Linked DNA regions of Mus musculus: regions 1, 2, 3, 4, 6 and 7 are each reported to be linked to region 5. Evidence: microRNA targets listed by miRTarBase, many of them from high-throughput screens and not tested one by one. Region 5 holds a microRNA gene; each other region holds the end of a gene's coding sequence.
What was found. The annotated mature microRNA mmu-miR-297b-5p reads AUGUAUGUGUGCAUGAACAUGU and lies in region 5 at 2,390-2,411, shown strand. An mRNA with a match to its seed (bases 2 to 7 or 8) in the 3' UTR can be bound and repressed. Matches are read on the target gene's strand: a 7mer-m8 pairs with bases 2 to 8, a 7mer-A1 pairs with bases 2 to 7 and ends in A, and an 8mer does both.

Region 1: the mRNA of Rab9b is a reported target of mmu-miR-297b-5p. Seed matches in the 3' UTR shown: 7mer-m8 at 3,632-3,638, 7mer-m8 at 3,540-3,546 and 7mer-m8 at 3,496-3,502.
Region 2: the mRNA of Lrrn4cl is a reported target of mmu-miR-297b-5p. Seed matches in the 3' UTR shown: 7mer-m8 at 3,143-3,149, 7mer-m8 at 3,129-3,135, 7mer-m8 at 3,125-3,131, 7mer-m8 at 3,121-3,127, 7mer-m8 at 3,117-3,123, 7mer-m8 at 3,113-3,119 and 1 more.
Region 3: the mRNA of Neu1 is a reported target of mmu-miR-297b-5p. Seed matches in the 3' UTR shown: 7mer-m8 at 2,586-2,592 and 8mer at 1,902-1,909.
Region 4: the mRNA of Cnih3 is a reported target of mmu-miR-297b-5p. Seed matches in the 3' UTR shown: 7mer-m8 at 2,826-2,832.
Region 6: miRTarBase lists Cdh12 as a target of mmu-miR-297b-5p. Seed matches in the 3' UTR shown: 7mer-m8 at 3,342-3,348.
Region 7: the mRNA of Vdr is a reported target of mmu-miR-297b-5p. Seed matches in the 3' UTR shown: 8mer at 2,918-2,925.

What each region holds. Positions count from the first base shown.
Region 1 is chrX:136,857,318-136,861,837 of GRCm38, forward strand. It overlaps Rab9b (RAB9B, member RAS oncogene family), which reads right to left. Exons shown (of 3, transcript NM_176971.3): 3 at 830-4,374. The coding sequence starts at 4,332. The coding sequence ends at 3,727. Among named protein-coding and RNA genes, the nearest start is that of Rab9b, 9.0 kb to the right of the region's middle.
Region 2 is chr19:8,851,655-8,856,174 of GRCm38, reverse strand. Lrrn4cl (LRRN4 C-terminal like) reads right to left here. Exons shown (of 2, transcript NM_001013019.3): 2 at 2,266-4,520. The coding sequence starts at 4,515. The coding sequence ends at 3,796. Among named protein-coding and RNA genes, the nearest start is that of Lrrn4cl, 3.1 kb to the right of the region's middle.
Region 3 is chr17:34,934,439-34,938,958 of GRCm38, reverse strand. It overlaps Neu1 (neuraminidase 1), which reads right to left. Exons shown (of 6, transcript NM_010893.3): 5 at 4,454-4,520; 6 at 1,662-4,354. The coding sequence ends at 4,128. Among named protein-coding and RNA genes, the nearest start is that of Neu1, 5.4 kb to the right of the region's middle.
Region 4 is chr1:181,458,664-181,463,183 of GRCm38, reverse strand. Cnih3 (cornichon family AMPA receptor auxiliary protein 3) reads right to left here. Exons shown (of 6, transcript NM_001160211.1): 6 at 2,543-3,959. The coding sequence ends at 3,932. Among named protein-coding and RNA genes, the nearest start is that of Ccdc121, 51 kb to the left of the region's middle.
Region 5 is chr2:10,509,297-10,513,816 of GRCm38, forward strand. Mir297b (microRNA 297b) reads left to right here and starts at 2,371; the gene lies at 2,371-2,479. All of the region lies in intron 10 of Sfmbt2 (Scm-like with four mbt domains 2), which reads left to right. It overlaps Mir669a-2 (microRNA 669a-2), which reads left to right and starts at 868; the gene lies at 868-964. Mir466d (microRNA 466d) reads left to right here and starts at 2,671; the gene lies at 2,671-2,766. It also overlaps Mir669m-1, Mir669m-2, Mir669c and Mir466n.
Region 6 is chr15:21,585,385-21,589,904 of GRCm38, reverse strand. Cdh12 (cadherin 12) reads right to left here. Exons shown (of 12, transcript NM_001008420.2): 12 at 372-3,923. The coding sequence ends at 3,424. Among named protein-coding and RNA genes, the nearest start is that of Gm41278, 410 kb to the left of the region's middle.
Region 7 is chr15:97,853,838-97,858,357 of GRCm38, reverse strand. Vdr (vitamin D (1,25-dihydroxyvitamin D3) receptor) reads left to right here. Exons shown (of 10, transcript NM_009504.4): 10 at 727-3,931. The coding sequence ends at 986. The region is part of intron 1 of Gm33690 (a long non-coding RNA gene); the gene reads right to left. Among named protein-coding and RNA genes, the nearest start is that of Gm33690, 8.6 kb to the right of the region's middle.

The DNA of each region.
Region 1 (4,520 bases), not on the chromosome of region 5:
GTATTTTTGTCTTCCCCAAAGTTCTAATAACCAAAAGCATGTGGAATGGATGAGACTGTTAAATCCGTAGCAGATGGCATCATTGTGATGAATCATGTATGATGGGGAGACTTGCATCCATAATTTAAATCTTGCTGGACCAGCAAGATGGCTCAGCTGGTAAAGACACTTGACATCAAGCTTGGTGACCTGAGTTTGAAAATTGTCCTCTGATCTCTTCATACCTACCATGACATGCACACACACACACACACACACACACACACACACACACACACACAAATAAATAAATAAATAAATAAATAAATGTCATTAAAATGTCACTATTATATCCGTTCAAGCCATTTGATGCTTAGTGTAACATTAATGGCCAAGAGAATAGAACATTTTTGTCTTAAAAACTATCTGTTCTGACCTGTTTTATCTATATTTTCATATGTTTAATGTCTACGTCATTTATCAGTCAAGAAAATAAAAATACTGTGTATAGTCTATTTATATTTACAATATTTTAATATTTTTAAACTATGGTTAAAAATAAAGTGGAGGATTAAGGTCTATATTCTGATTCCAGCACTCTCTATGCATTACAGAGGGATCTAAAATAAAATAAAATAAAAGGAATATCTAACTTTAAATCTTTTGAGTTTGTTTCTCAGTCACTACTGCAAGAAAATTGGGACTGCCATTGGAGTATCACATAAAAAATGATCCAGAGACCACATCAAGTACCATCTAAGTGAGGAGCTTGACTGACAGGTATATCTATTATACTGACAAACTGTGCAAAAGAAAAAAAGGAGAGAAATGAAACCCCATAACCATTGTATGCTGGTTATTCAAAATGCACTTTTTATTTACTTTGACACAGATGATTTTTAAACAACTGGAACAAAATATCTTATCCACATTTTTTGAGATTTTTAGCAGCACCTGCAACAAGAGGATGGTGGAATACCTCAGAATAAAGTAGAGATGGCCAAGGCAGGCACAAAGACACCTGAAATTCATCAATCCGCTGAAGACATATGGAATCTGAAGCCCCTTGAAAGTCAATACATGGCAATAAACTAAATAAATATTTTATATGATATTTTAATGGACTATTGAAAACCAGTATACTTCTAATTAGAAATACATTGATCCCAAACATCTAGTGTTCATTAAAAACACCTATTGAAAATATTTCATTGCACATTCTAGATATACAGTCTATTTCTGAACACATATGCACAGTTCTTGGTACCAAGGATAGCAGCTTTTGGTGTTTTTAAATCTTACCCAAACTATGTCAACACCCACTGAGTGTTACTCACTAAAATGCCACTGTTTTGTCACATATTGTTAAGTGCTTGATATTGTGAAGTAATTTGGTAGAAAAAAAAGTATGGCTAAGAAGAAAGGGGCTTCGATATGCCTGCTAATAAAATGAACACTTGTCTCAATGGACAGCATGTCTATGAACTGAATCCTCACATACTTTTATTTTTACTCACATGACCACATGCCACTCTACAGAGACAAATACTTTGTGTGAGCTGATGGAGATCTTTATGAAGGCCTGAGATCTACAGATAGAAACTATTATAAGCAGAGTGCAAGTAGAAAGAGAAGGCCCCAGGTCTCATGCACTTAAAAAATAATTACCATTTATTAGTTCTGACGTACAGATTTTCACCCTAACATGATTGTAGCAAAATGACTGTAGAACATTGAAACCAGTGTGGCTGGCTATAGGCATAGGCAAGATAGGAACCAATATTTAAGAGTTGTGGGGTCCCAGTTCTGGCTTTGACTTCTGGCATCTAAATTAATTGGACAATAGGGTCAGGACTATACAATAATTAGAAATATTGAGTAAGTCTGAGTTGAAATAAATACTGTCCTACTTTTGTCTATGTGGCCAAAAGTACCAGAGTTCTTAAAGCACGTAAGGTCCCACATGTAAGGCTGATTCCATGTGTGGCTACAATGGAGAATTCTAGGCTGTATTCCTGTGAATGCTCCCACCCAATCCCAGGCCTAAATCTCTTTGGAGGGCCTTAACTAATTAACTGTCCCTCTTTACATTGGTTCATACATGTTTTAAAGCACAGATTAAAATCCATGCAGATCAACCAATTTAAAAAAAAAAAGAAACAGATGACACACTCAGAATATAGTATATACAATTGGCAGTCATGGTATTCAAAAATTGTCAAACCATTTTTGGTATGAACATTGTACCTTTGGGATATATTTTTAAATAATAGTTGCTGTTAAAGGCTAATCCCAGAATGGCTTGAGGATTTTTGAAGGCCCTCTCTATGGTCTTAACCTTTACTTTCATGTAAGTCCAACCAGGACATGGCACTGACATAGTTTATATTCAGAACGAAAGCATGAAGAAACCTTATACCAAACATGTAGCCAGTTCAGTAATTCTTTTTAACAAATAGTCAGCCAGTGACTACTTTTATTGGGAGGGAGTTCACAATTAAGGCAATCTATTCCACATTTGAACAAATTTAATTACGAGAAATTCATCCTAACACAAAGTTTAAAAAAAAAAAAACCTGCTCTTTTGCCAGTTTTAATGTCCTAGTTTGGCCAGCTGAACATCTGGTGGGACATTCTAAGAATCAGATCCTTCTGAGATCTGAGATCTGAGATCTAACAAACAACTGAGTTAAGGAACCTGTGAGAAAAGCCCATTACTCTCCAATCCTTTCTGAGGCCTTCTGCATGAGCCAGCATGGTGAATTATAGGACTGTGTAAAATGTAGGCAGAGAGCACTGCACCCGAAGCCACATACTAAGCAGCATCACTAAATTGATAAGTTGTCAAGGAAGCAACATCTCTATGCAGCAGCAGTAGACTTAATGAAGGAAAAGCAGGCCAACCATGTATTTGCAAATGTGGTTGGCATATTTAAGCGTAATCCATTCACTAGTGTCCTGTGACTCACATGGATTAGAACCAACCTCCAGTGTCATTAGAGTAATTCTTATAGAAATGATTTTTCTTAAGTTCATAAGAGAGTAAACCATACGTAAGGATTTGAACATGTCAGTGTGTTTTTATACATCTATATTCTTAATCACCACCACCTTTTTCTAATACATGTTTAGAAATTCTTGCTTCCATTATTTTCTGTAACACAGCTCAGAATCCTAATTTTCCCTTTGGTAGAAATGACATAAACTACTTGGCAAGAGTTGGTGGCCTTTGCTAGCTGGTTAATGGAACACTTTAAGCTCTTTCACTCCTTCATGCGGCTGGGTTCTAGGTTTAAACTGTGATTAAAAATACTTAAATCTCTCAGGACTAAAACTTTCTGATATGTCCTGAGCCACACAAGAAGGGAAAATAGCAGGAATTACGCAAAATACACTTGGCTCAATAAAGCTTTTTAAAAAACCGCTTTACAACTTCAATTTGAAAGGTTCTGTTTCAAAAACAGAACATTATCTTTTACTTTCATGTGTGTGTGTGTGTGTGTGTGTGTGTGTGTGTGTATGTGTGTGTGTATGCAATCACGTGCGTGCACGTACTTTCATGTATGTGTCTGTGTGTACCTGTGTGTATGCAATTGCCTGTGTGAGCATGCTTTCATGTACGTGTGTGTGTGTGTGTGCATGTGTGTGTGTGTGTATGTGTGTGTGTGTTCATACTACCAAAGAGCACAGTCGTTTTTACACAACAGACTGACCAACTTATTGCACACTTGTCAAGAGTCCCTACCTCTAACAACAAGAAGAACTTGCTTTGGAGCCACTGTTCAAATCAATGGTGTGACCTAACATACAATGTTCCAGCTGTTCCTCTACAGCTAACACCTGCCTAACAGCTTCTTCAAAGGCCACTGTCACATTAGTATCATCTTTGGCACTTGTTTCTAGATAAGGGTAATTTCCATTCTCCATGCACCAGGCTTGTGCCTCCTCAGTCGTTACTTGCCTATCCTCTTTGTCTACCTTGTTACCCAGAACCACAAAGGGGAAATGATCTGGGTCCTTTACATCTGCATAGTAGATGAACTCTTTTTGCCAGTTACCAAGGTTCTCAAAGCTCTGCCGGTCATCCACACTGAAGGTTAGCAGGCAGCAGTCGGCTCCCCTGTAGAATGGTGTTCTAAGGCTCTTGAAACGTTCCTGCCCCGCAGTGTCCCAGATCTGGAGGGTCACAAAGCGTCCATCTACCTCCAGATCTCGATTTAAGAACTCTACCCCTATCGTGTGAAAAGCCTGGGAGTCGAACTTGTTGGTTACATAACGGTTCATAAGTGAGCTTTTCCCAACTCCTCCATCACCCAAGAGGATGACCTTTAAGAGAAGGGATTTCCCACTCATGTTGCAGCACCAAACAGGGAGAAGTCTGCAAACAAAAAAAACCTGCAAATACATAAACAGGTAGGAAGGAAAATTGTTAAACTCAAAACAAATCAACTTCATAGCAAATGTCCCTGAATTATGAAGCCCCTGACAATGTACTTACATAATCATTACTTGACTTAAAACACAGACAGAAAACCCTTTTA
Region 2 (4,520 bases), not on the chromosome of region 5:
CCCTCCTCTGGCAGCACATTTGGCTCAAGGATAACCCTTTCTCTCAAATCAGCCTGAAGCTCCCACTCTCAGTCGCCAGATCTGAACCTTTTATTTATACTTTTTCTGGCACTACTCTCTGCCCAAGTGCTTCTACCTCTACCTGAAACCTCTCCAGTTGCATGGTCACTTCTGTAACCCTTTCAGAAATGAGAGAATAGACTTTTCTGGTTTCCCATTTTATCATTTTTATTCCTTCATTTCCATTCACAACTTTTTTGTTTTGTTTTGTTTTGTTTTGTTTTGTTTTTCGATAGACCATTCACAACTTTTCAAACTGCTCAGTCATTCATTCTCTCAACCTTTGTTGAGCTTTGAGACAGGACATGAAGAAGGAGGAGGAGGAGGAGGAAGAGGAAGAGAAGGAAGAAGAAGAGGAAGAAGAAATAGAAAATCCTCTCTGGGAGCAAAGTAGTGGGGGAGGGAAAATCATGTTTCCCATTCTGCCTAGTGCCCATTTGGCGCCACTTATTACCATAACTATACTTTTTGGCTACCATGGGTTCTTTTATCTACCACTCTTATTCCACCCCAATCCCTTTCAACCCAACACTAGGTAGACAAGAAAGGTTAAAGGGAAAAGGAGGCATAAATCGCTCTCTTTTTTAAAAAAAGATTTATTTATTTATTTATTTATTTATTTATTGTATACAAGTACACTGTTGCTGTCTTCAGACACACCAAAAGAGGGTGTCAGATCCCATTACAGATGGTTGTGAGCTACCATGTGGTTGCTGGGAATTGAACTCAGGACCTCTGGAAGAGCAGTCAGTGCTCTTAACCGCTGAGCCATTTCTCCAGCCTAGAGGCATAAATCTCTTTAGACTACTTCCTGCTGATTATTAGCATCAAGTTCCTTGGGACAAGTCCAATCTTCAGGATATCTCCAACCAGCAATCCAGCAAACAGCAAAAGCAACAGTAGGAATCAGCCTGCTGCAGCAGCCCCTGCAACCTCTTGGGGCTCTGGCATTTTTATACCCTATCAAAAGTCCCCAGAATTATGTGCTGCCAGAGCACAAGAAAAATCATAGCTGGTTGCTGTTGACAATCTAAAGCAGCCCTATATCCCACACCTGGGATTAAAACAAAAACGTGTTCCTATAACATATCTGTGTTTTTAAAGAAACCAAAATTCTCAGTACTTTCCATATAGAACTCATAACAGCACAAGTTTTTCTTAATTAACTGTGAAGCCAACATACTCACCTGGGAATGCATGCTCTTTCTAATTAAAGATGATAGAGCTATTTTCTCATGCTCTAAATGCTCACCAAGTAGCTGAGGCAAAGCCTGGGAAGGAAAGCAGGGCTAGACTAAACCATGTGAACCCTGCTTGCAGAAGCAAGTGTACTGGAACCTGCACGGGCTGCTTGGTGGTGCTCCAGGTGAGTGCCACACTGTCACCCACATGCACGGTGCTGAGGGCACTTAAAAGACTCCTGTTGAGGTTTGTAAATACCTGCTTAAGAGCAGTGCTAGTTTTAGTGTGTGTTAAAGCTAAAAGATGAACAATGATTCTTTCTTTCTTTTTCTTTTTCTTTTTTCCTATTTGTCATCTATCTATCTATCTATCTATCTATCTATCTATCTATCTATCTATCTATCTATCTATCTCTATTGAGACAAGGCTTTTCTGTGTAGCTCTGCTGTCCTGAAACTCTCTATGGACCTCCAGGCTGACCTCCAGCACAGAGATCTTTCTGCTTGCCTCTGCATCCCAAATGCTGTGATTAGGGGGTGCACCACCACCACCTAGCTTAAACAATGATACTTTCAATGAGAATAATAGACAAAGAAAACCTGAGCAAGTAACCGATTCTGTGACAAGGCCTCACTGGGTAGGTAGTCAGTCCTACTTGGCCTGGAACTCTGCAGCCCAGGTTTTTCACCAATTCACAGAGATCCTCCTGCCTCTGCCTCCAAAGTGCTGAGATTAAAGTCTGTGTACCATTACATCTGACTTCAGGGGTGGCTTTAATTTTTTTCCTAGGTTCCCTTATTCACTTATTGAGAACTTGGGTAATAATAGCTTTGTTTCCAAACAACCAAACACCAAAACAGCCCAGGGTGGTGGCACACACCTTTAATCTCAGCACTCAGGAAGCAGAGGCAGGCTCTGTGAGTTTTAAGCCAACTGGTTCTACATAGGGAGTTTGGGACTATAAAGGGCTATACAGTGAATCTCTGTCTCAAACAAACACAACACAAAAGTCTGTATATTACTTTGAAAAATAGTCATACCTTTAATCTTGGCCAAAAGTCTAAGTCATAATGAAAAAAATCTATATGGAATTAAACAAGATCATGAAACTGAAAATGTAATGATTTTAGATTCCCTTTAATGTTAATACAGTGGAAAAACAATTACACAAAGTTGTGGGGAGTCATTGGTATAAACTGTTAGTTACAAATAAAACCACTGCTGGGCGGTGGTGGCGCATGCCTTTAATCCCAGCACTTGGGAGGCAGAGGCAGGCGGATTTCTGAGTTCGAGGCCAGCCTGGTCTACAAAGTGAGTTCCAGGACAGCCAGAGCTACACAGAGAAACCCTGTCTTGAAAAAACAAACAAACAAAAACCCCCAAAACAAACAAGACCACTAACTTATGTAGCCAGAAGCTTGGGCCCTGTCTCCTCCAGCCCATGCTGATTTTTAATCCCCAGCTTCCATAGCCCCAGGTGGAGTCTGAGCAGGATCATCCTTAGGAAGGAAACAACAAGTAGCAGAAAGACAGAGCTCCAGTCTCCACATCTACCCTGCTTATTCTCAAAATATGCGTGGAAGCCACCCACAGTCGCAGAGTCCTTTTCAGAATAACAGGTGTTGGCAAAACTCAGCTTATTCTCAAAATATGCAGGGAAGCCACCGACAGTCACAAAGTCCCTTTGAGAATGATAGGTGTTGGCAAATCAGCCAACAGGCCAAATGTAGTCTGCTGCTTGCTGTGAGAGACCTATGAGCTATGAACAGTTTACATTTTTAAACAGCTACACTTCAAATTAATTTTTATTTTATGTGTATGAGTGTTTTGTCTCTCTCTGTGTGTGTGTGTGTGTGTGTGTGTGTGTGTATGTATGTATGTATGTATGTATGTGTGCGTATGTATGTGCCTGATGCTGGCAGAGGTCAGAATTAGACACTGGATCTCCTGGAAATGGAATTACAGATGGTTGTGAGCTGCCATGTGGATGCTAGGAATAAAATTCTGTCCTCTGGAAAAATAGCCAGTATTCTTAACTGCTGAACAATCTCTCTATCCCGCCCCACCTTTTGTTTGTTTTGCTTCTGTTTTACTCTTTTTGAGACAGGGTCTCACTATATTATCTGGGTTGGCCTGGAATCTTTCTATGTAGATCAGGCTGCTTTGGAAACTCAGATCCGCCTGCCTCTGCTTCCAGGGTGCTGGAGACTAAAATTGTAAACCACCATGCCAGGCCTTTAAATAGCTCCATTTTAACTGGCTATATATAAGTTCATGTATAATGTCTGTAATTTTACCCCTTCAAACCCATAAAGCTTAAATCATTTTCATCAGACCTCCAAGGAATAATTGCTACTTTTTCTAACCCCCAACAGGGAAGGAACATAGTGACCAGTTAGGGACTAACCAAGCCCTCAGTGCTGAGGCTAATTGCCTGGGCTTCCGCTCTGGCTTGGCTGTGCCTCTGGTTGCCAGGTGGCAACAAGCCCCACACTCCTCCTGGGAGTGGGTTGGGCTCTCCAGATGAGTTGTTTGTAGTCGAGGGGACTCCTGTCAGAGAGCTTCTGACGCTTGGGCCATACCTTGACGTCGGGGGCAACCCCATCGCTCACGAAGGCAGAAATGCCAAACCAGGGCTGCACAGCTCAGCAGAGCTAAGGCTGTGCCCACTCCCACGGCTGCATAGACCAGGGTAACAGGCTTAGGCGGCATGATAAACTTGCGACAGGGCCCAAAGGAAGGGCCAGTCCAGTTCTCAGGACCCTCGACTTCTGCCCCAGGAACATTGCTCTCACCTGCGTCATTAGCAGCCACCACGCAAAGGACATAAGCAACCCCAGGCTTTAGTCCCTTCAGCTCTGCTCTTCGAACTGTAGCATTGAGAGGGGCACTCTTCTGTGGAGCCCCGTTGCTTTCCCAAAGCAGAAGCCAGTAGTGGCTGACTGGAGAGAAGGGAGCACACCAGTGAACCACTGCGTAGCCTTCTTCAGCCATTATTTGCACTTCTCCCAGGCGAGGAGGCTCTGGCTGTTGATCTTCCCTGGAGAGCCCTGGGCACAGGCAGGCTACTGGCCCAACCTTCTGCAGCTCCTGGCAGGACACCTGCAGGTGGCGGCAACGGTCATAGTCGCAACGGACAGCTAAGGAAGGTGTAGCTACTGTCACATCATCCTCTTCCCCTTCCTGGTAGTCTTCCAGGGTCAAGATCTGAGGTTGGGAAACCAAGGAGGTGGTCATGGCTGCCAGCCACAGAAGGGAAAGAGAGCCCAACATGGAGT
Region 3 (4,520 bases), not on the chromosome of region 5:
CAAGCCATCTCTCCAGCCCCACTGTCTGTCTTTCTATTAACAGGGTATTGCTGTGTAGCTCTGACTAGCCTGGAACTTGCTACAGACACAAGGCTGGCTTCAAGTTTTCATGATCTTCCTGCCTCTGCCATCTTCTGCGAGCTGGGGTTTCAGGCAGGCACAACCTAGTCTCACTCTCTTCCACTACCTCTTTTTGTTTAGTTTCACATTTATTTGTTTATTTGTTTTGTAGGGGTGGTGGGTGCAGGTATGCTGTGGCATGTTTGGTGGTCATAGAACACCTTGCTAGAGCCAGTTTTCTCCTTCCACCCTGTGGGCTCAGAGCTTTGAACTCAGGTCATCAGCCTTGATAGCAAGTAACCACTGGGCCAATCTTGCTATCACCAATTCTACTATTGGGGCTGGGCCTGTGATCTCAGCTCAAGAAGCTGAGCAGGAAGATTGCATGAGTCCCAGGCTATGGAACGAGGCCTGGGTCAACATATAAAAAGCAAAAGACTGGCAGGTAGGTATGCAATTTTGGGTGGCGATAGTCATGGGACTGGTGTCCCAATTGCTGTGGTCATGACCTCCATTCTTCCTCGTTCAGTGATCTGTTTAGTGATCTGCATGAATTACCACCAGCCCAGGGACTGGACATTGTACCTGAGCCTCACGCATGCTAAGCAAGCACTGTACTGAGCTAACCCATCAGCCTGCTAGGTGTCTTACTGTCAAGCATCTTCCCTCACTCCCTCTGTCTGCCTCTGCAGGCCAGGGAAGGGCCTTTCTATGTATCCCATTGGGCAACACTGTGGTTTACTGACTAGGGCAATGAGTTACATCAACTGACTCAGAACTGCTCAATTAAGGGAGAGCGAGCCCACACAGGCTGTGGTTCCTGTACAGACCGTGCACCAGCTAACAGACAGCCCAGAGGAGAGAAGGCTCTCTCTCTTTTTCTTGAAGTCTTCATTTTTGCTTTAGATTTACTTTAGTTTTATGTGTATAAATGTTTTACCTGCGTGTATGTATGTATGTATATATGTATGTGCCTGGTGCCCACAGAGGTCAGAAGAGGATATCAGATCCTCTGGAACTGAAGTCCTAAAGTCACACATGGTTGTGGGTGCTAGGAGTCAAATCCAGATTCTTTGCATCTCTCTCTCTCTCTCTCTCTCTGTGTGTGTGTGTGTGTGTGTGTGTGTGTGTGTGTGTGTGTTTCTTTGAACTGAAGGATTTCAGGTTATAAATTATTTCAGGAAGAAATAAAAGTAAAAACCACTCATTTGCAACTCCATGAAATATGGTAGCAGACAACGCATGCAGGATGGGATTGCTGCTTTGGGAGGGTTACCAGCAAACCTTACAAAGATTGCTGTACCACCTCAGCCCTGTGCTCAGTCTCTACACGGAAGGAGGGCAGGCTGTGCGAGCGTGGGGGAGCAGTGGGCAGCACATGGAAAACATGAGGCACCCCTATTCTCCCAAAGAGGTGTCTGAATGCAGCCAAACCTTCAGAGGTGGAGGGAGATGTTAGGTGACTCCTTCAAGGGCCATCCCACGGGACAACCTGCTGTTTTGTCTGGATGGCACAAAAATCAAGCAACCTACTGAACAAACAGAAAGGTTAGGCTGCGACAGATTAAAAGAGTGGCAAAATCAGCAATCAAAGCCAGCGTGGTGGCGCATGCCTTTAATTCCAGCACTTGGAAGGCAAAGGCAGGAGGATTTCTGAGTTTGAGGCCAGCCTGGTCTACAGAGTGAATTCCAAGACAGCCAGGGCTATACAGAGAAACAACCCTGTCTTGATAAAATACAAACAAAACATAAAAGAATCAGGAATAGATTTTTTTCTTAGGTCCTGATTTTTGCTTTTGTTTTAAATTATTTTATTTTATGTGTATGAATATTTTGCCTGATTGTATGTCTGTGCACCACAGATGTGCCTAATACTTGTGGAGGCCAGAGGGTGTCAGGTCCCCTGGAACTGGGGTTACAGTTGCAGCTACCCTCCATGCTGTCTCCCCAACTTGAGAGCACAAGGCCTCAGCATGAGAAAAAAAAAATGGCCAAAAAACCAAACCAAACCAAACCAAACCAAACCAAACCAAACCAAACCATGGTAACATCAAATTTGCAGTTAAACATGGATGTGGCCATGCTTAGTTAGAACTGAGGATCTGAAGCACTGGAGATATCGTGTATTCCGGGCTAGCCTGGGCTACAGTATAAGACCTTGATTCAGACCACAAACTAACAATCAATTGTGAATGTTGGCCTGTCTTGGTGGGTTATATTGACAGTCCTGGTTCTGAGGCAGGAGGATTTCACGAACTGGAGATCAGTTAGGCAATATAGTAAGAGTCACCTTCAAACAAACAATTTTGAAAATTTCTATTAGCCAGGTGTGATGGCATACTCCTGTTATCCTAGCCCTCGGGAGACTGAGGCAGAAGGATGCCCATTTGGAGGCCAGCCTGGGCTACATAGTGGGTTCAATCCACTTTAAGATACATGACAGGATTTTTGCTAAAAATGAAGTCAACACGTCTCTAATTTTTTTTTTTTTAGAAAACCTGAACATTTGTATTTCTGTGTGTGTGTGTATGTGTACACGTGTGTCCATCTATCCATGTGTGCCTGTGTATATGTGTGTGCCAGTGCGTTTGTGTCTGTGTATATGTGTGTCAAAGTGGGTCTGTGTACCTGTGAGTCGATGTGTACATGTGGGCCAGTGTGTATTTGTGTACCTGTGTCAGTGTGTACGTGTGTGTCTGTGTGTGTGTGCACATGCATGCACTGATTGAGGCCTTGTGCATGCTGAAGTGTTTAGCACTGGGCTGCACTAGCAGCCCCTAGAACACCGTACAAACTCTGGATAAAATGCACAGGATCCCTCACTGCTGACATACAATGGAGCTATACCTCTATCACACAGAACAAATGATCTTAACATTTCTTAGAGAAGAAATGTCAAAAGAAATATGACCCTCTAATTGAAATGAACGCAGCCCGAATCCCTCAGACCTTAATATTCTTTTTTTTTTTTTTTTTTAAATTAAAGCAGAGACAGCAAGATGGCTCAGCTGGCAAAGGCACCTGCCCCCAACTCTGACACCTGAGGTCATTCCACAGGACTCACAGCGTGAAGGAGAGAGACAACTCCAGTAAGCTGTCCTCTGACCTACAGTACGTACACCTTCCTCTCAATAAACACATACCCCCCCCCCCAAGGACTGAACCCAGAGTCTTAGGCGTTCCAAGTACTAGCTCCACCACTGAGCTACACCGTCAGTCCAGCGAGTGCGGGGTTACAGGTGCCCAACATGCTTAGCGTCCATCTGGGCTCTTTCCACGTGGAGAAGGGCTTTGCTCTCCCACACCTGCAGCAACTGCTTGCTCCTTTCTCACAGACTGTCCTTCCCATCTGGTTTTACACATCTGTTCCCTATTTCCTATGCCACCCCATCTTAGAAATATAAAATATAAACACGCCCCCCCATCTTTGACACTTGCAAACAGCAGCAGCCAGGATGGAATCTAGGGGTTTCTGCTTCCCAGTAAGTACATCGGCTCCTCTTCCAGCTGCCTTCCTGTCTCTCCAGGAGGCAATTGGGAAGGCGTGAGCAGACAGAACCACAGACTCCACAAACGCTTTTTCTGCATCAAAAATTTTAAGTTACAAATATTTCGATTCATAAATAATCAAAGGTGCACACGTAGGTGTGCTTATCCTTGCTCTGAAAGGACACTCTGCCCTGGGGACTTTCAGCAATCACATCTAGTACCTGCCTTTGTACCCTAGGACACCGGGCCTTCTCAGTTCCCTGAGTTCGTATCTGTTCATCTCTCCAGGGGGAGCCCCTCCCCCATCCTGTCCCAGAAAGGCACAGCTCCGTTGTCCTGGAAGAGAATGGACAGGGGCCATCCCCAGCATACTGGAAAAAAGTGCTCTTGGTGACGGAGGGACTTCCTGCCCCGAGAGGAAGCTGGGTGTTAAGTCATAACGAAGAGACTTCCCTGTTGATGAGAAGTTGCAAAAGGTCAGAGTTCAGAGGAAGAGCTGTGTTTCAGGCACCCTCTGCAGATGGTCCAGAGAGCTGTGAAGTCAGCGACCAGGACTTGGTGTCCTTTGGGCACGGGGCTCAGAGCGTGCCGTAGACGCTGATTTTGACCATGGAGATGCTCTCGGTGTACCGGTTCAGGCCTTTCTCGTACAGAACGAACAGCTGCGGGGGCTGCTTCTTTCCATCCGTGCTGTTTTCCAGGGCTGTCAGGGACGAGTAGCCGCTGGGTCCCGGCCACACCTGGACCCTCTCCTTCTGCCAGGATGTACCATTGCTGAAACTCCAGCGCAGGGTCAGGTTCACTCCTAGGAGAGCAATAGTCAGAGGGAGGAGGGTCTCTGCTCTGTCCAGGACTTGTTCAGACGGGGCGCCCCCCAACCCCCACTCCACCCTCAGGCACTCACGGAACTCAGGGTGGGCTGGATTGGAGAAGAAGACAATGCCGGAGCTGGTGGCTAGTGCTCCTGCAGC
Region 4 (4,520 bases), not on the chromosome of region 5:
GCCGGTTTGGCTCTGAGGAACGGGGGGAGGTTCTACACAGAGTCACAAGCCAGAGCACAGTGTGGAACAGAACAGGCCAAAGCTCCCCTCCCCACCAAAAAAGAAAGGGCTATAGAACGTATCTGCGTGATAACACAGTGAGTACAATTAGTTGTTGTCAAAGCGTTTTGCTGGCTGCATTCATCTCTTACGTGGGAGAATAAAACTGTCATAACGATGACAATTTTATTCAACATTGGTGCAATTACCAAGCCTAAAAATAGGGAGCAAATGGGATACTTTTCTTGAGGCTGAGCTGTTACCCCTGTTGCACGGCTGGGACAGTGACTCCCTCACCCCACCCCCAGGAAGGGGAGAGGACAGGAAGAAAGCTGAGACTTGGTGAACAGTGCTCTGCGTTCCTATGAGACACAGCTAGGTTTGTTCTCCACCATCCCCCTCCCCCTTCCCTCCCCCTCCCCTCCCCTCCTCTCCCCTTCCCCTCCCCTCCCCCTCCCCCCCCCCATGTAATCATCTGGCACAGAGGGAGGAGCAGTGCAGGGAGGACCAGGAATGAGATTTCCTGGGACAAGACTGTAGAGCCAGGCTCTCTGCTATGAGCTCCCTAGACACAGTTGACTTGTCACAGCCGTGGGAGGCGGTACACACCTCATGTGACAGATGAGAAGTCGTCTCAGAAAAGATGAAGCACCACACGGTTCTCCAGCCCCAGACTTTCTCATTGCAGCCAGGCCCTCCAGGTCACTTGCTGTGAGTCCTGGGAGGCCTGCTGCTCAGCCCCTGCCCTGTCCATCATCACTCCATTCTCTCTTACTCTTTTTTCCTTCACATCCCCTCACCCTTCCTGCACTGCATGGCTCTTTTGAGAATACAGAAACATCAAGGTCCCAGAAGCAAAATGACTCAGGTTGACAACTTGGCAAGTGTTGACTTTGGCTGGGGTCCTTGACCTCTGTAGGGTTTGTATCAAAGCTTTCAACTATCATTTAAAGACAGTCATAGTGTCACTGTGAGGACTGAATAAGATGTGTATCAGTCGAGTGGTTGGCAGGAAGCTGGGGCATTGGGTAGAGTGTAGAGAACAGGGCACAGTTCCCTCTCTAGAGTACCAGGTGCAGCGGACATGAAGTCACACCATCCTTATAGCAAGCTGGGGCTGAGCCTGTTATTCTTCTCTCACCTTAGCAAAGGGAAACGTGACCTTGTGACTCTCCATCATCCAGGTCACATGCAGCACAGGGCCACAGCAGGGGAAGAGGGCCCATACTTCCAGGCCAGTACTGGCACATGCTATACCCCTAAAGTATCCAGTTCAGTAGATGGGTTCTAACTTGCTCAACAAAAACACTTCCTTTGGATTCTTGAGGCTCTGGGAACTTTAAGGCATTTCTCCTGCCTTGCTCCCTCCTTCCTTAAATGAGCTGCACAACGAAAGAATGTTAGCCAAACAAGCAAAACTCTGTGGAAATAGGTCCAGCTGCATGGTTTTAAAGCCCCGCCTCGGACCAGCTGTGCACATCTGGAAACAGCTCTTCCCATTGACTGTGGCGCCTGGCACACACCTGTGCTCTGCCACTAGCCCCATCTTGCTTATTTTTACCATCAAGAAAATGAACTTCTCCTGGGGAACCGAGGATTTGCTCTAACTCCCATGAGATCACCGGACTTATTTTCCAATCACAACGGATGGCAAGGGAACGCTTTGAATGTTTTTCTTTCATAAAGGTAGGACCTGCCCAAGAGGCATCAGCAATGCTTAAGGATTTCAAAGGACTAAGGGAAGAATCTCTCACACGCATCCCCTTAAACCACCACGCACGTCCCTTAGCTAGAGCTCTCTGCTTTAAAATCTTTCCTCATAAAAGTCAAAGCTTTTGGTGGGAACAGAAAGGTCATGTTCTCTTAAAGTCGGCTACCAGGTTCATAGGCAGGCCTTATAAACTCCCCCACTTTAAAGCAGAAAACAAGAGGGCCAAGTGGAGGGTTCAGTGTGCTAGGAAAGTGGTCTAGAAGATGTAAAGTCCTGCCGTATGAAGCATTTACTGCTGAGGGATGATGTTAAATTGACCACTCAGGAAGTTAGGATATGGTACAGACCTCCTTTGTAGGTTCGAATGTCCCAAGTCCACATTAACAATCTCTGATATTGGTGTCTCCTGTCAAAAACGACTTTAAGCAGTTTTGGAAGAGGGGAGTGTAAAAGAGATTCCTGAAGAGAGGAAAGAAGACCCCTTTCCTTATGTTCTCCATGTCTTTCTTTTCTTTTCCTTTTCTTTCTCTCTCTTTTTTTTTCAAGATGATGACGGTGTTAGCTTTGCACCTGACACTCAGACCTCCACTGTTTGTTGATGTGACTAGCCATCCCTGGGAAAGGTACCCAGCTGAGGTTGTGTAGCTTCAACAAGTTACCCTCAGTAGTAAGAGCTCCTGCCAAGGGAAAGACCGCATTCTCCCTGTCCTCCTAGACTGCATTCTCCCGAACCGGCTGTGGTTGATACAGCTGGCCCCTCAGAAAAGCAGCCTTTTGTTTTTCTTCTTTCTTGCAAGTTTTTTTTTTCTCTCTATTTTGTTTTCTGTAATTTTTTTTTTTAAGAAACACTGTTTCTTTTTAAAAACGCTTTTCTACCTACTAGTTTGCCAACCATATGGATACCCCGGGGGTGGGTTGAAATGAGATGAGGTGAGCCACTCAAGTTGTTGCTGCATCTTAAACATAGCACACAATGTGTTACACAAACACCATTCAAAAAACTGAGTCACAGAATTCAGATGGGAACCAGTACATATATAAATAGTGTGTGTGTGTGTGTGTGTGTGTGTGTGTGTGTATGTGTGTGTAATGGTAGAAAGCAAGGCAGTTTGGGGAATCAGGTTAAAATCATTGTGCCCAGTTTAAGCATCATAAAAACTCAGCCTTGTCAGTATTTACACCTGTCCTGCAACTCCCACCCAAAAAAGGAGCAAAAGTCAAGTGGAAATTTCTAAATAAGCGATGTCCCCACATTGAACTGAGGAGCACAAAGGCCGTGAAGCATCAATGGATGTGATAATTGTGTTGTCTCACTTCCTGGCTGTCCATACCCACACACAGAGCAGCTCTCTGTTTCTGGGCTTCGCACTATTTTGAGGGGTTTGGTTTGGTTTGGTGTTTTGTTTTGTTTTTTGCTTTGGCTCATGCCAGCCAGCTGATTGGCATGTAATGACTCTGATGAATTTTTGGCACAGTGGCAGAATACATCTTGGGAGGGTGAAGAACTCACACCTGGGACATGTTGCAGACATTTTTAGAAATCCATTTTCTCCCCCTCCCCAGTTCACACTGGACAGGGCTTGCTGCCACACCCAGCTCAGGAAGCCACAGCCCAGGCTCCTGGACACAGAGCGTAAAAGTGACGTGAGAGGTGGCTCAGGGCAGTCCCCACAGCTTTCTGCCTTGCACTGAGCAAAGCATGTGACCACAGCTCTGGAAAAAAAATGACAAGAGTCTTGGGCAGCCCATGGTGTCCCTGTGGGTCTCAGCCATCCCTGAAGATCTGGCCTTGGCCCTGAGCCATTCTGTCCCTTGTTCGACACCTGCCAGCATCTGGCCTCATTTCTACCATCCAGACGAGCTCTCCATGTGAAACTCGCACAGTTCTGCTGCTCAGTGAAGTGGATGAAGGAAGTAATAATGGCATCTCCAGAGGTTGAGTGTTTCATCAGCTACAAGCTGGCACGCCCATGCTCAGAGGGGCCCTGCAACCCATGTGGGATGTGAAATGCGAAGGCAGAAACAGACACACGTGGGTAACATGGCTCTGACTGCTGTATGACTCCCGTTCCTTTCATTCGGTCTCTGCCATCTGGGTCTCTCCGTCATCCCCATCTGGTGCTCCTCTAGCCACAGCCGCAGTGGTTCCCAGCTTCGGCCTCTCCATCAGCAGGGTCTGAGTTAGGAGCTCACTAAGGTGTAAATCATGCTGGGTGCAAACAAGAAGAGGAAAACAGATGTCAGCAGGAGTCTGTGGCTTTCATCAGCCCCCTTCCAAGTCTGGAGCCTATGGATTCAACTCATTCCCGTCTCTGTGGTCTCCAGTTCACCCATGGAGGCCTTGCTATAGCCCATAGTGTGTCTGCTAGGATGGCACCCCATGTCCCCTGTGGATGCTTATGAGCACTCTCACTGGGATGATCACTGTGGCGCATCACTTTTCCTGCAATTACAGGTGCCTATGGGGTAAGATTCTTCACACCACCATCTGCAACCACATGCTTACAGAATGGCTGCATCCTTACCCCTCCTCCCCAAGCCCCCGTGATGTTACATGATGTGTCAATTCCAAGGGTCTGGATGAAGAACATTGTCACTGATATCAGTGGGGTTGCATAAACACAGTCCTCGGGGCAAATGACATAAGTGAATCTTAACTGGGCATAGGTCCCCAAACCTCCTCCTTATGGGATTAGTAGTGACCAAGTAGGAGGGACCTGCATTCCTATGGCCTGACAAGGATGTCAGGCTAATTCTGCAAGGCTGACAA
Region 5 (4,520 bases):
CTCCATGTATGTGCATGTGTGTATAGTTGTGTGTGGATGTGTGTATTTGCATATAAATAACATACACACACACACACAAGTAAACACAAGTGCACAAACAGACACAGGAATGCCATTCATCGATCCATTGGAATGATAAGTGATTTAGAGTTTTAGAGATTTTGAAGTAGAGACGGTGAATTGTCTCACTCACCAGTTGTAAACGATTGAAAGAGTCAAGAGGATCTGGAGTTCCAATTCACTCCTATGTTCAGCTAGATAGCATCCTGGTATTCATGTGATATCGCCCATGTGTGTGCATGTGAGTATAGTTGTGTGTGCATGTCTGTATTTGAATATACATAACATACACACACTAATGCAAGTACACACACACACACACACACACACACACACTCACACCAATGCCACTCATCAATCCATTGGAATGATGTGTCACTTAGAGTATTAGAGATTATGCAGTACTTGGCCAGTGAGTGCTCTCAGTCTCTAGGTGAAAATGCTTGCTAGAGTTAAGAGTATTCAGGAGTTAAAACACATACTGACCTTCATGAGGATTTAGAGATCAGCCTGTGATTCATGTGATGGCCCCATGATTGTGCATGTGTATATAGTTGTGTGTGCATGTTCATGCATGTATTTGCATATACATAACATACACGTATAAACGCAAGCACACACACATAGAGACACAAGAATGGCTTTCATCGATCCCTTTGAATGATATGTCACTTAGCATATTAGAGATTATGCAGTACTTGGCCAGTGAGTGCTCTTATTCTCTAGGTGAAAATGCTTGCTAGAGTTAAGAGTATCAGGAGTTTAAATTCATGCTTATCCTCATGAGAGATCAGCCTGAGATTCCTCCATGTATGTGCATGTGTGTATAGTTGTGTGTGCATGTTCATGTCTATATTTGAATATACATAACATACACACACACGTATAAACGCAAGCACACACACAGACACAGGAATGGCATTCATTGACCCATTTAAATGATATGCCACTCAGAGTAGTAGAGATTATTCAGTATGGGGCAAGTGAGTGCTCTCATTCTCTAGGTGAAAATGCTTACTATAGTTAGGAGTATCAGAAGTTCAAATTTATGCTTATCTTCAGCATGATTTAGAGATAAGCCTGTGATTCATGTGATGCCTTAAGTGTACATGCAGGTTTGTATAGTTGTGTGTGTATGTTCATGTGTCTATATGGATATACATAACATATACATAGACATATAAACCCTAGCGTGCACACACACACACACACACACACACACACACACACACACACACACACGAATAACATTCATAGATCCATTTATATGATATGCCACCTAGAATATTAGAAATTATTCAGTACTGGGCCAGTGAGTGCTGTCATTTTCTAGGTAAAAATGCTTGCTAGAATCAGGAGTATCAGGAGTTCAAATTCATGCTTATCTTCAGGAGGATATAGATATCTGCCTGTGATTCATGTGATTGCCACCCATGTATGTGCATGGGTGTATAGTTTTGTGTACATGTGCATGTGTGTATATGAATAGACATAACATGCACATACATATAAACACAAGCACACACACACACAGAGACACAGGAATGACACTCATCGATCCATCTGAATGATAGGTGACTTAGAGTTTTAGAGATTATGCAGTAGTGGGACAGTGAATGGTCTCAATCACCAGGTGTAAACCACAGAGTCAGGAGGATCAGGAGTTCAAATCCATGCTTAATTTCAGTTGGAGATCATCCTGGTATTTCTGTGATGCTACCCATGTATGTGCATGTGTGCTTACTTGTATGTGCATGTGCATGTGTTGATATGAATATACATAACATAAACACACGTGTATATGCAGGCACACACACACAGAAGAAATTGCATTCGTCGTTACGTTTGAATGATATATGACTTAGAGCTTTAAGAGTATGTATTACTGGGCCAATGAAACGTCTTACTTACCAGTAAAAATGTTTGTTATATTCAGATGGATCAGGGGTCCAAATTCATGAGTAATTTCAAAATGACATAGAGATCAGCCTGACTTCACGGGGTTCCCCCCAATGTATGTTTATGTGTGTATAGTTTATGTGCATGTGCATGTGTGCATATGCATATACATATACATCCATACAAACATATAGAAGTAGCACAGATACACAGACACACACACACACACCCATCAATCATTTTGAATGACAGGTGACTTAGAGTTTTAGAAATTATGCTGTGCTGGGCCAGTGAGTGCTCTTAGTCAAAAGGTAAAAATGCTTGCCAGAGTCAGGAGGATGAGCAGTCAAAATTCATTCTCAACTTCATGATGAGTCTGGGATCAACTTCGGATTCATGTGATGCCCCCAATCTATTTGCTTGTGTGTATATGTATGTGTGCATGAACATGTGTATATGAATATACATATACATACACACATACCCATACAAACATGCATACAAACACACAGAAAATGGATACTCATTGTTCTATTGAATGATATGTGTCTTAGAGTCTTAGAGATTCTGTATGACTGGGCCAGGGAGAGGTCACACTCACCATGTGACGCCCCTTGCCAGAGTCAGGGTGATCAGGAGTGCAAATTCATGTTAACTGCGTGATGAGGTAGAGATCAGCCTGTCATTCATGTGATGGCCCCTGTGTATGTGCATGTGTGTTTGTGTGTGCGTACATGTACATGTGTGTATATGAATATACATATACATACACGCACACATAGATACGCACGCACACACACACACAGGGATGGCACTCATCAATCCATTTGAATGATAAGTGACTTAGAGTGAAAATGCTTACTAGAGTTAAGAGTATCAGGAGTTCAAATTCATACTTATCCTCATGAGAATTTAGAGATCAGCCTGTGATTTATGTGATTCCTCCATGTATGTGCATGTGTGTATAGTTGTGTGTGCATGTTCATGTCTATATTTGAATATACATAACATACACACACACGTATAAACGCAAGCACACATACACAGATACAGGAATGGCATTCGCCAATCCCTTTGAATGATAAGTCATGTAGAGTTTTAGAGATTATGCAATAGGGGACATTGAATGGTCTCACCCACCAGGTGTAAAAGATTGACAAAGTCAGGAGGATAAAGATTTCAAATTCATGCTTAATTCAGTTAGAGATCATCCTGGTATTCATGTGATGCCACCCATGTATGTGCATGTGTGTTTACTTGTATGTGCATGTGCATGTGTTGACATGAATATACATAACATAAACACATGTGTATATGCAAGCACACACACACACACACAGAGAAAAAATTGCATTCATTTATATGTTTGAAAGATATGTGACTTAGAGCTTTAGCAATTATGTAGTACTTGGCCAATGAAACTTCTTACTTACCAGTAAAATGTTTTTCATATTCAGATGGATCAGGAGTTCAAATTCATGAGTAACTTCAAAATGGTGTACAGATCAGCCTGGCTTCATGGGATCCTCCCCAATGTATGTGCATGTGTGTATAGTTTTGTGTGCATGTGCATGTGTGTATATGAATAGACATATACATCCACACAAACATATACAAGCAAGCACAGATACACACACAGGAATGGCACTCATCGATCCATTTGAATGATAGGTGACTTAGAGTTTTAGAGACTGCAGTAGTGGGACAGTGAATGGTCTCAGTCACCAGCTGTAAATGATTGACAAAGTCTGGAGAATCAGGATTTCAAATTCATGATTAACTTCAGTTAGAGATTATCCTGGTATTCCTGTGATGCCACCCATGTATGTGCATGTGTGTTTACATGTGTGTGCGTGTACATCTGTGTAAATGAATATATATATATATATATATATATACATATATATATATATATATATATATATATATATATATATATAACATAAACATACATGTATATGGACACACGTATGCACACATACACACAAGGAATGGAATTCATTGATATGTTTGAATGATATGTGATTTTGAGCTTTAAAGGTTATGTAGTACTGGTCAAATGAAAGTTTTTCTCACTATGTAAAAGCTTGCCATATTCAGAGGGGTCAGGAATTCATATTCATAAATAAATTCAAAAGAGAGTAGAGATCAGCCTGATTTTATGGGGTTCCCCACAATATATTTGCATGTGTGTATAGTTTTGTGTGCATGTGCATGTGTGTATATGAATATACATATACATCCACACAAACATATACAAGCATGCACAGATATACACACACACAGAAATGGCACCCATAGATCATTTTGAGTGACATGTGACATGTGACATGTGAGTTTTAGAGAGTATGCCGTGCTGGGCCAATGAATGCTCTCACTCACAAGGTAAAGACCCTTGCCAGATTCAGGATGATCAAGAGTGTAAATTCATGTTGGTTGCATGATGAGTTGGAGATCAGCCTGGCATTCATGTGATGGCTCCTGTGTATGTGCATGTGTGTTTGTGTGTGCGTACATGTACATGTGTGTATATGAATATGCATATACATGAGAGCATACAT
Region 6 (4,520 bases), not on the chromosome of region 5:
AAGCCCAGATTTTCTACAAGTGTTGAAAATTGAGCATAATATTTAAGGAAAAAGAAAATCTTCACACAACATCTGCATTCACATATTTTAGGATCCTTTGTCTCTCTTCCTGTACACTTTTTCATCTTTTGATTTCACAGAAGAATTTTCAGGTATATTGATAAAAATTAATTGTGTGGTTTTCTAAGTAGAACTAGTGATTTTTGATAAATGATCAATCAAATCCCTACATGAGTCAAAAAATATATACTATGATCTATTTTTTTGCATTTAAAATTAGCATAGTCTGTAGGTAAGCTATTTGATATACTTCAACCATTACTGTAATTTAATGACAAGAAAATTTCTGATTAATTGTACACAACACTGAATATAGGAAACTGGTTTTACTAAAGAAAATAAAAGAATGAAGGCCAAGTAATTTGATCCATAGGAAGTTTTCAGTCAAAGGGGGGAATGGTTCAAAACACACAGATTATCTTTAGTACATCAATCAACACTGCTTCACTTTTGGATGCTGACTATACACTTCTTTGAGTAGCATTGAAGGCAACATATAAGTTTTATATATATACATGTACATATGTATCTCTATAAAGATAGACATGCACGCCAATAACAAAATTGCTGTTTGTATATAGCTAAAATCATTCATACAAATTTTAAATATTTTTATATTGCTTAATGCTTGAATGAAGGTCAACACCTGTTTTATGAACAACAACAACAAAAAAACTTCCCAAGGTATTACAGGCATTGAAATACTGGGCTAAGTCCTTTCAGTAGCCTAAAAGATACCATAGTTCCTCTAATTATAAGCACCAAAGGATCTCCTTTCCACATCATATATTACTTTTATCATTCTGCTTGTTTATGTTTCTTTCATTGATTGTTGTAACTAAAATGCTATTTAGAAAATAAACACTGTTAATATATTGAGATTGGGATTGCATGAATCCACATGCGGTAGTACCAAACCAAATAGGACTTGGTGGTAAGGCCTTTATTATTAAACAAGGCAAACAGAGGACCTGTGGGTAGATGCTGCTCTAATATGAAGATCGTCCTTATGAGAAGAGAAACAGAAATAAGCACAGAAATGAGAAGAAGTGGGAAAGAAAAGGTAATGTTCTCCACTACCAGGAGAAGATGGTAAGAGGAAACCTGCCATCAGAGCTGAGGAAATAAACTGTTGTTATTCACTTTGTCTGTGAACATTTGTTTTGAGCTGATGAAGTAATGTAGGGTATTACAAAGATATGAGTGTGATGAGAACTAAGAGCCACACATTGCATATTTTACTATCTTCATAGTCATGTGGTTTAAAATCATCAGCCTCTCAAATCTCTAGGTTATCATGGCTTCTGCTAGCAACTTCATGAGAAGGTTATTTTATTTCTTGTCAAGATACAAAGTGTAATAGTTTTTGACAAGAATCAGGTCTTAATAGTGTGTGGTCTTCTTCAAGAAGACATTATCTGTACATAATGAAATAAGAAACAAGTCATTAATTTTTCTTCTCTAGCATGGCAATTATAAGTGATTTTTCTCAAATGTAAAGTACTAAATACATTTGTTTATTACATGAAAATTGGAACAAGAGAGGTATGGAGTGATGACTGAAAACAAAAATTGAATCTCCCATTCCAAAATGGAGAAAAAGAGTCTAAAAATGGTGAACATAGAAACAAGGGGTAATATTTCTATACCGTAAATAATTTAAAATATGCATTTTAGAATATGCCTAAAATTAAGTTGTCTAATTTTGTAAATTTCTTAGATTCCATAGTGTGTGAGTTTTATCTCTATAGCCGCACAAATAATAATGATAGTCACAGAAATTTATTATAAAATTAGACATTAGTGATATGTGATTCACAGCTCTTTAACTTTAATTTTTTCCAACGTGTTCATAGGTAGAAGTTGTTCGTTATTCCAACTACATTGTTAAGAATAGATATTACTTTATGGTAAATTTGCATTTGTTGTATCCTGTGAATGTCTAAATGATGTATAATTCCTATTGAATTGATGTGAACAATGTTTATTACTAATATAGTCATGAATTATATCATCACTTAGACATTTCGATAAAGTGGAGACATTTTATCTGAAGAGTTACAAGGAGTAATTTACATGAGGATATTTGTAGATGAGATAATGAAGAGGTGACTCTGGGCTGATACAATAACTGAGTTCATAATGATAAAATCCGCATCACTAGAGAAAGTGAATCAGCTGCCCGGCATTGAAGTTTTGTTCCCTTTGGGATTTTAGTCATTGGTTTTATTTTTGAAGTCCCTGACTTATTGTTCAGTAGTATAGAACAAGCATATATACTTGTTATAAATTACAGTATTTGATATGCATTTTGTTTGAATCATTCATCAAAGAACCACTAGATAGAAACTCTGAGAATGACAATGTTGAATTTTCTCATGTTTAAATTAATAATTTATTTCCTTTCAGAAACTTCAGTAGAAACACAAGCTGAAATTTTAATCTATCACTGAAAGCTTAACTTATTTAATGACTTGTTAAAACCAATGTCCATATACCAGCATAGAATTAAACAAACCGATATTTATTTGATGTTGGAATTTGAGCCCCGAGGCCTCTCTTTATAAAGAGGGATTCTTTTTATTTCCTTCAGTATAATTTTATTTGTTTTTTCTTTTTTTTTTGGAAAAACTAACACCTTAATTAACATCTTTCACATGAATGAATGCTATGACTTAAGCATCACTCTTAGAAATCATAACTTACATATGGAATTTAGTAATGTCTCATTTATCCCAGTTTCTGAAAGGATTGGAAAAGCCTTTCTGTTTTAGTTTGCAATTTACAAAAGGAAAAGCTTTGCTGTATAAGAAGATAGAGTTTGGGAAGCATTCTCTGTTCTTAAAAGAACTGAGAGTCAGCATGTCACTATTGCTTCTTGACGTAGAGACACTGTCTGCTTTCTTCCTCCTTATTTTCGACTCCTGACAAGCCACCACAGCGGAGTGTTATGAACACCACTATAAGGATAAGAGTTTCAATAGGCACTTTAGTGGAATTAAGAAAAATCATACACTCTTCCACCGTGACGCCACATAGCTATCTTCATTCTAGGTTGTCATGTCAGTGAATTGCATTTAATAGGCCTGAGCTCGTCTCAGTGTGTTTCTGAAATAACAAAACAAAACAAAGCAAGTACATATCATAGGATTTACCTTGTGCCTACATAATAAACCAAAATGACAATATGATAAATAGAGCAACTTGTTAGAAGCTGGATAATCAAAAAAAGTCTTGTCCTGCAAAATCTGGGAGTGTGTGTGTGTGTGTGTGTGTGTGTGTGTATGTGTGTGATTGTGTTTTATCTGTGTTATTTTTGTCAAAACTTTCTCCTCTAGATGTGTATCAGCCTTTCCTTTTCCCCTAGGTAACATTGTCGGGGTTGTAACTCTCTTCTTCTCCAAACATGTCTGCCAAGACCTTAAAGCGGGGTCCCCAGTCTGATAGATAGTCATAGTCCTGGTCGGCTTCTGTGGTGAGAGAGTCTATGGAGCTGAGTGATTCTGCCACTGAGCCATTCCCCTCATACGCATAAGTGGCCAAGGAATCGTATGGTGGAGCCGCTGGGTCTGCGTCATTTTCCTGTAGCCTTCGGTGAATAAAATCCCTTATGTCTGTGTTGTCTTCCACTTGTGGTCTTTGACGAGATAAACAGAGGGAGTCTGGTTTTATATCCCTGCGAATTTTGTTCTCTTCGATCACCTTGGGATTTCTCAGAGCCCCGATGTCAAAGGCCTGGGTGTCCTCCTCCCCACCTCCTTCATCGTCATAATGGATGACATTGTCTCTGATGTCTTCTTTAGAGGTCATAAGGGTGTCTTTCTTCCTCTGCCTCCTCAGTGCTACATACAGCACAACAATAGCTACAAAAAAAAAAATGACATCTGGGTAAACAGAAGCATATATATCATTTCATCTCTCTGTAAATGTTAGAGCAGATAAGGGACATTTGCACTTCTTTAGTGACCTCATACTACATTCCTAGGTATTATAATATCAAAATGGCTATGTATATGATTATAAGTTGTCTATTGCCACTTTCACATTGAAACGCTAAGTACCAAGAAATCACAGAAATGCTATTAATATTATCAAATATTTTCCCATTTGTAATTTAATATTTTGGATTCAGAAAACGATGTAGCAATTAAAATAGCAGAGAGGAAATATGACTTTTTACTATGTAGATATTTGAAAGAGTTGGTACAAAACACATGGGTATTTCATGGTAAAGTAACATTTAAATATCTTTCATGGGTAGCAATAATAGTCTTGGTAAAATACATTTCTGTAAAATAGCCAAAGATTTTGTGAGAAAACAATATTAAATACAGTTCTGATGGAGGAGAGTGATGGAGGAGAAAAAGAAAGAGATGGATGGAGAGGAGAGAGAGAGAGAGAGAGAGAGAGAGAGAGAGAGAGAGAGAGAGAGAGATGAAAGAAGTAATAGATCCAGCAAA
Region 7 (4,520 bases), not on the chromosome of region 5:
GTACTGAGAAGGAAGTTGTTGTGGTCTTGGAGATGTTATATTGGTGATAAAGCCCAAAGGACAGAGCCCTGGCTCAACCTGGACCATGTGCACACAGGGGACAATCTAGTGGCCTGTGGCCAGGAATACCAAGGCTGAAGGCCCAAGGGATAGACATAGGCTTCCCTCCTGAGGTCCAGATGGCATGTGCTCACTTAATCACATGATGGTTTACTGAGCACCTACTATGGCCAGACACTGGGCAAGGCACAGGGAGTCATGGGAAAAAGGATAGACTTCTGAGAGTTAGGGAAAAGTAAATGCTGGTATGGACCCATCTGCACTATAATGAGAGTTTTGAATATGAAGATGCTACTGGAGAGATCCTGCATAGATCTGGGTCACGGAGATGGAGGGTTATCAGGAACAGCCTTCTTCAGGAAGAGCTTTGAGTTTGTTCTGTGATAACCAGTCAGCCAGGGGGAAAGACAAGAGCTGATGCCCAGGCAAAGGGGAGATCTGTTAGCGAGAGTGGGAAGTACCTGGATACCAAAGCAAAGACTGAACCTAGAGACAGAAGGAATGGGATGAGGTAGGGACAGGACCAGATGAGCCCAGGAAAGGACTTGGTCCTAAATGCAGGGGATGTTATGGGGAACGGGGGAGATGCTGACATAGGGCACCTGTGTGGTGGATACTGTAAAACTAAGCCACAAGCATCCTGTCTTCTTCCATCCTGTGACACAGACCGACCTGGGGTACAGGATGCTAAGCTGGTTGAAGCCATTCAGGACCGCCTATCCAACACACTGCAGACCTACATCCGCTGCCGCCACCCGCCCCCGGGCAGCCACCAGCTCTACGCCAAGATGATCCAGAAGCTGGCTGACCTGCGAAGCCTCAATGAGGAGCACTCCAAACAGTACCGTTCCCTCTCCTTCCAGCCGGAGAACAGCATGAAGCTCACACCCCTTGTGCTAGAGGTGTTCGGCAATGAGATCTCCTGACCAGGGTGGCCTGCAGTGGTGCCTGGGTAGGGCCGCTCCTCTGGGGCCCTGTGCCCAGGCCCTGGGCTGGTTGCAGCCCAGCAGTGCCTCCTGCCCCTCCTGGAGTTCAGCTCCTCCTCTGCCGTGGCCCGTGTCTGTCTGGCTCATCCTTTCTCCTGCCCAGCCTCACACCTGATCTCCCTTTCCTGTAGACTGCAGGTTGCTCCTGTCCCTTGAGATCTCAGTTAGGAGACACTGCTGTTTATTTGACAAAGAAACTCAAGTGTGGGATGGGGGGAAGAGGGTAGAGGGCAGAGGCTGAAGGCAGAGAGCTCTGCCTAGGGAATGCCTCCGCCATAAGGGGCCACTGCTTGTGTCAAGGGAGGCAGGCAGAAGAGATGAGTCCATTCCTCAGGGACAGGTACCTGTACCTACCCCGATTCCAAACCTACCTGCCTGGTGAGAACTCCTGCCCCTGCCTACAAAGGGTACACAACCTACCCATCATCCCTAGTGTGTCCCGTCTCCTCCTGCCACCTGTCTGTATTATTCTGACCCAGGGGAGTCAGTCACTGTGGGGCCTCCTTCCTCTGCTGGTATACTCATGGACTCATTCACTGCCAAGATGACCAAATACTCTACCACACTAACCAAGGAGCCCTCCCTAGCCCTGCAGTTCCCACCTTTGAGGTTTTGTTATGGTAAGTCCCCAAGTCCAGTACCTCTGGTAAAGTGGACTTCTTCCCCCATCCCTAGAACCAGGGACCTAGAAACCACCATTGGAAAGTCCCCAGGGAATGGAATACAGAGCCCAAGCAATGAGGAGCAGGCAAAGCCAGCCTCCCAGCAGGACAACAAATGGAGGTCCATCTATCTTTGTCACCAAGCTGAGGTGTCTGAAGCCTGGAGCTACTGGGACCCCTCCTCTCCTCTATAGCTATTAGATGTGTCAGGACCAAGTTGACCCCAACTTTCAGAACGTCCCTAGCCCTGTCTTCATCCCTTCCCCTGCCAGTGCCTTACCACCTACCCAGGAAAGCAGGTCCTTGAGCCACCCAGGCCTTACAATTTGATCACCAAGAGTATCCCAGAAGTTATCTCAGCTTCTCCATCACCCCCACTTGGAGCAACAGTGTCACATCTCCACCCCACTTACCAATAAAAGCTACCCTTTCCACCCAGTGGAATGGGATGGCAGAAAACCAACAGTGGCCCAGATGGACCTCCAAGTCTGCTTTTCAGGTGTAAAGCCAGACATGAGCTCTCCCACCTCAGGGAAAAGGTAGAGGGGGCAGGTTAGAACTTGTGGTACAGTGATATTGGTCCAGTTCCTCCTGACTCTTCACTCTACCACCCAAAAGTCAATGTAGACCTACGAAACGGTCAGGTGATGGGCTAGGGACGTATCTTCAAACTCCATTTCTTCCTCTGTAGTAGCCCAGTCCAGGACTTTGGAACCCTGGTCTCATTCACCCCAAATATACTTCTTGCTGATCATGCGTTGTGGGGGTGTGGGGGGACCCATGCAGAGGAGGTTCTCTTCATAAGGGGGACTCACAGAAGGACCTTCCAGTGAATGTTTGACCTAGGGAATGCAGCCACACTGGAAGCACCAATAGAGGGCTAAGGTCAGACGGAGCATGGCCCCACGAGCCCCAGATTCCCTGAAAATCCTGAGATCAATCACATTTAACATCAGAAGAACCCTTAGTGTCCACCTGGCCCTATGTTTCCCAGAATTCAAGCGGAAAACATCTGAGAATGGCTTTCCCATATTGCATTACGGCATGCAGAAGGCTTTATTTTAAAGTCATTCCATCAGAGGTGTTCTCAGAATTAGACCCCACCTGTACTGTGTTCTAACACTGAGGGTGGTGGCACCTGATTCAGAGCAGTGTGTGTGTGTGTGAAAATACTGTATATTAATGATTATTGTTACTGCACACACACACACATACAAAAAAAAAAAAAAAACCCTAGAGAAAGACCTTTGATTTTAGCAGCAGAACACATTGATCTGGCTTACTACTCAACAGGAGGGAAAGTCTGAAAGTTGATAAGCTAGTTCGACTCCTTTATAATGAGAACCTGACATCAGAGGAGAGTGTGATTTACCTGGGCTCATATAATTAGAAGCATCTCCAGGCCTGGAGAAAATTTGAACTTATGGTCCCGGGCTGCTTTGTAGTGAGCCTGTTTCCACTGCTCTGGTAGCTGAGCCAGGCTATGAGGAAACCCTGGATATCAGCATAAACCTATGTCTGGGACTACGATCCCTTTTCCCTGGGTAATAAACTCAGCCACCCATCCTAAGGAGGCAAGCACTTGGCCTCTTTGAGTGAGACTTGGCTTTAGGACTCTCTGCATCAGCCTTGTGTGCATCAGGCACTGGAAAGCCTCTGTCTTCCCAGCCCTTGCCTCTCCAGGAAACTCCACAGGCCTCCAGAGAATACCAGTTTCTCAGCCCAAGGGGTCCATCACTGAGAAGTGCCCAAAGGGAAGTCAGGGAGCTGGGAGGAAAAGACAGCAGGACCAAGTAGGATTCCGAAGCCGAACTGGGAGAGAACAGCATCATCTATTTTTATTCTGAATGTACAAAGGCAGGGCCTTGAAAGAGCTCACACTTCCGAGGCGGAAATGGGTACCAAAATGAGAGATCAGCAAGATTTCCCAAGATAGGAGAATCCTCCTGCTGCCTGCGTGGGAGAAAGTAGGGGAGGAGTCCAAACCAGGCCACCAGAGATGGTTGAGATAAATGACAAATCTGGTGGAAGTCAGACATGGCTCTAAAGAGCTTCCTAAGAGACTTCCCGAGAGAGAGACAAAAGTGTTTGTTTGTTTTGTTTCCAGGAGCTTGTCAAATAAACCAATGAAAAAGCTTTGCCGATGATAATAAAAGATGCTCACACTTTCATAGCGCTTGCTACGTGACAAGTACCGCTGTAAATAAATGCCTCATGAAAACCAACTTGCTTGCTCTTTGTAAGGACCCCGTGAAAGATGCGCTGGTTTTGTCTCCACGTGGCGGAGGGGATTCGTCACCCAAAGCTCACTGGTGGTGAGGGAGGGGTGGGATTTAGACCCGGGTACCTCTCTCTGGAAGTCTTAATTAATTGCAACATTCTACTGCCCCCTACAGAGTTAAGTGGTGTGACAAATGATAGGCCCTCTTGCTACCACCCTAAGTAGGATGTGAAGGCTTCCGTTCAGTGATGGGGAAATGGAGGTGCTGGATCACAGAGTGCTCCCCCACACACACACTAGAAGTATTTGGCCTAATGTGTTAGCCCCAGTTAGGTGTGGCCCTTGCCAAAGAACATCAAGAAAGAAAGCCAAGTGATCACTGGTAACATTAGCTCTTGCGTTAGAAACTGTTGCTCAGCCCAGACTCAGGGTGTTACAGTAACCCCTGTGCACAAATACGGCTCCATGAGGCCCAGTGGAGTGAGATACACACAAGAATTCTCAACCAAGGACTTGGAATTGCAAATGTCACTGCCGAGTCCTACCCAGGTTTTTTGTTTGTTTGTTTGTTTGTTCTTGTTTTTAAGGTTA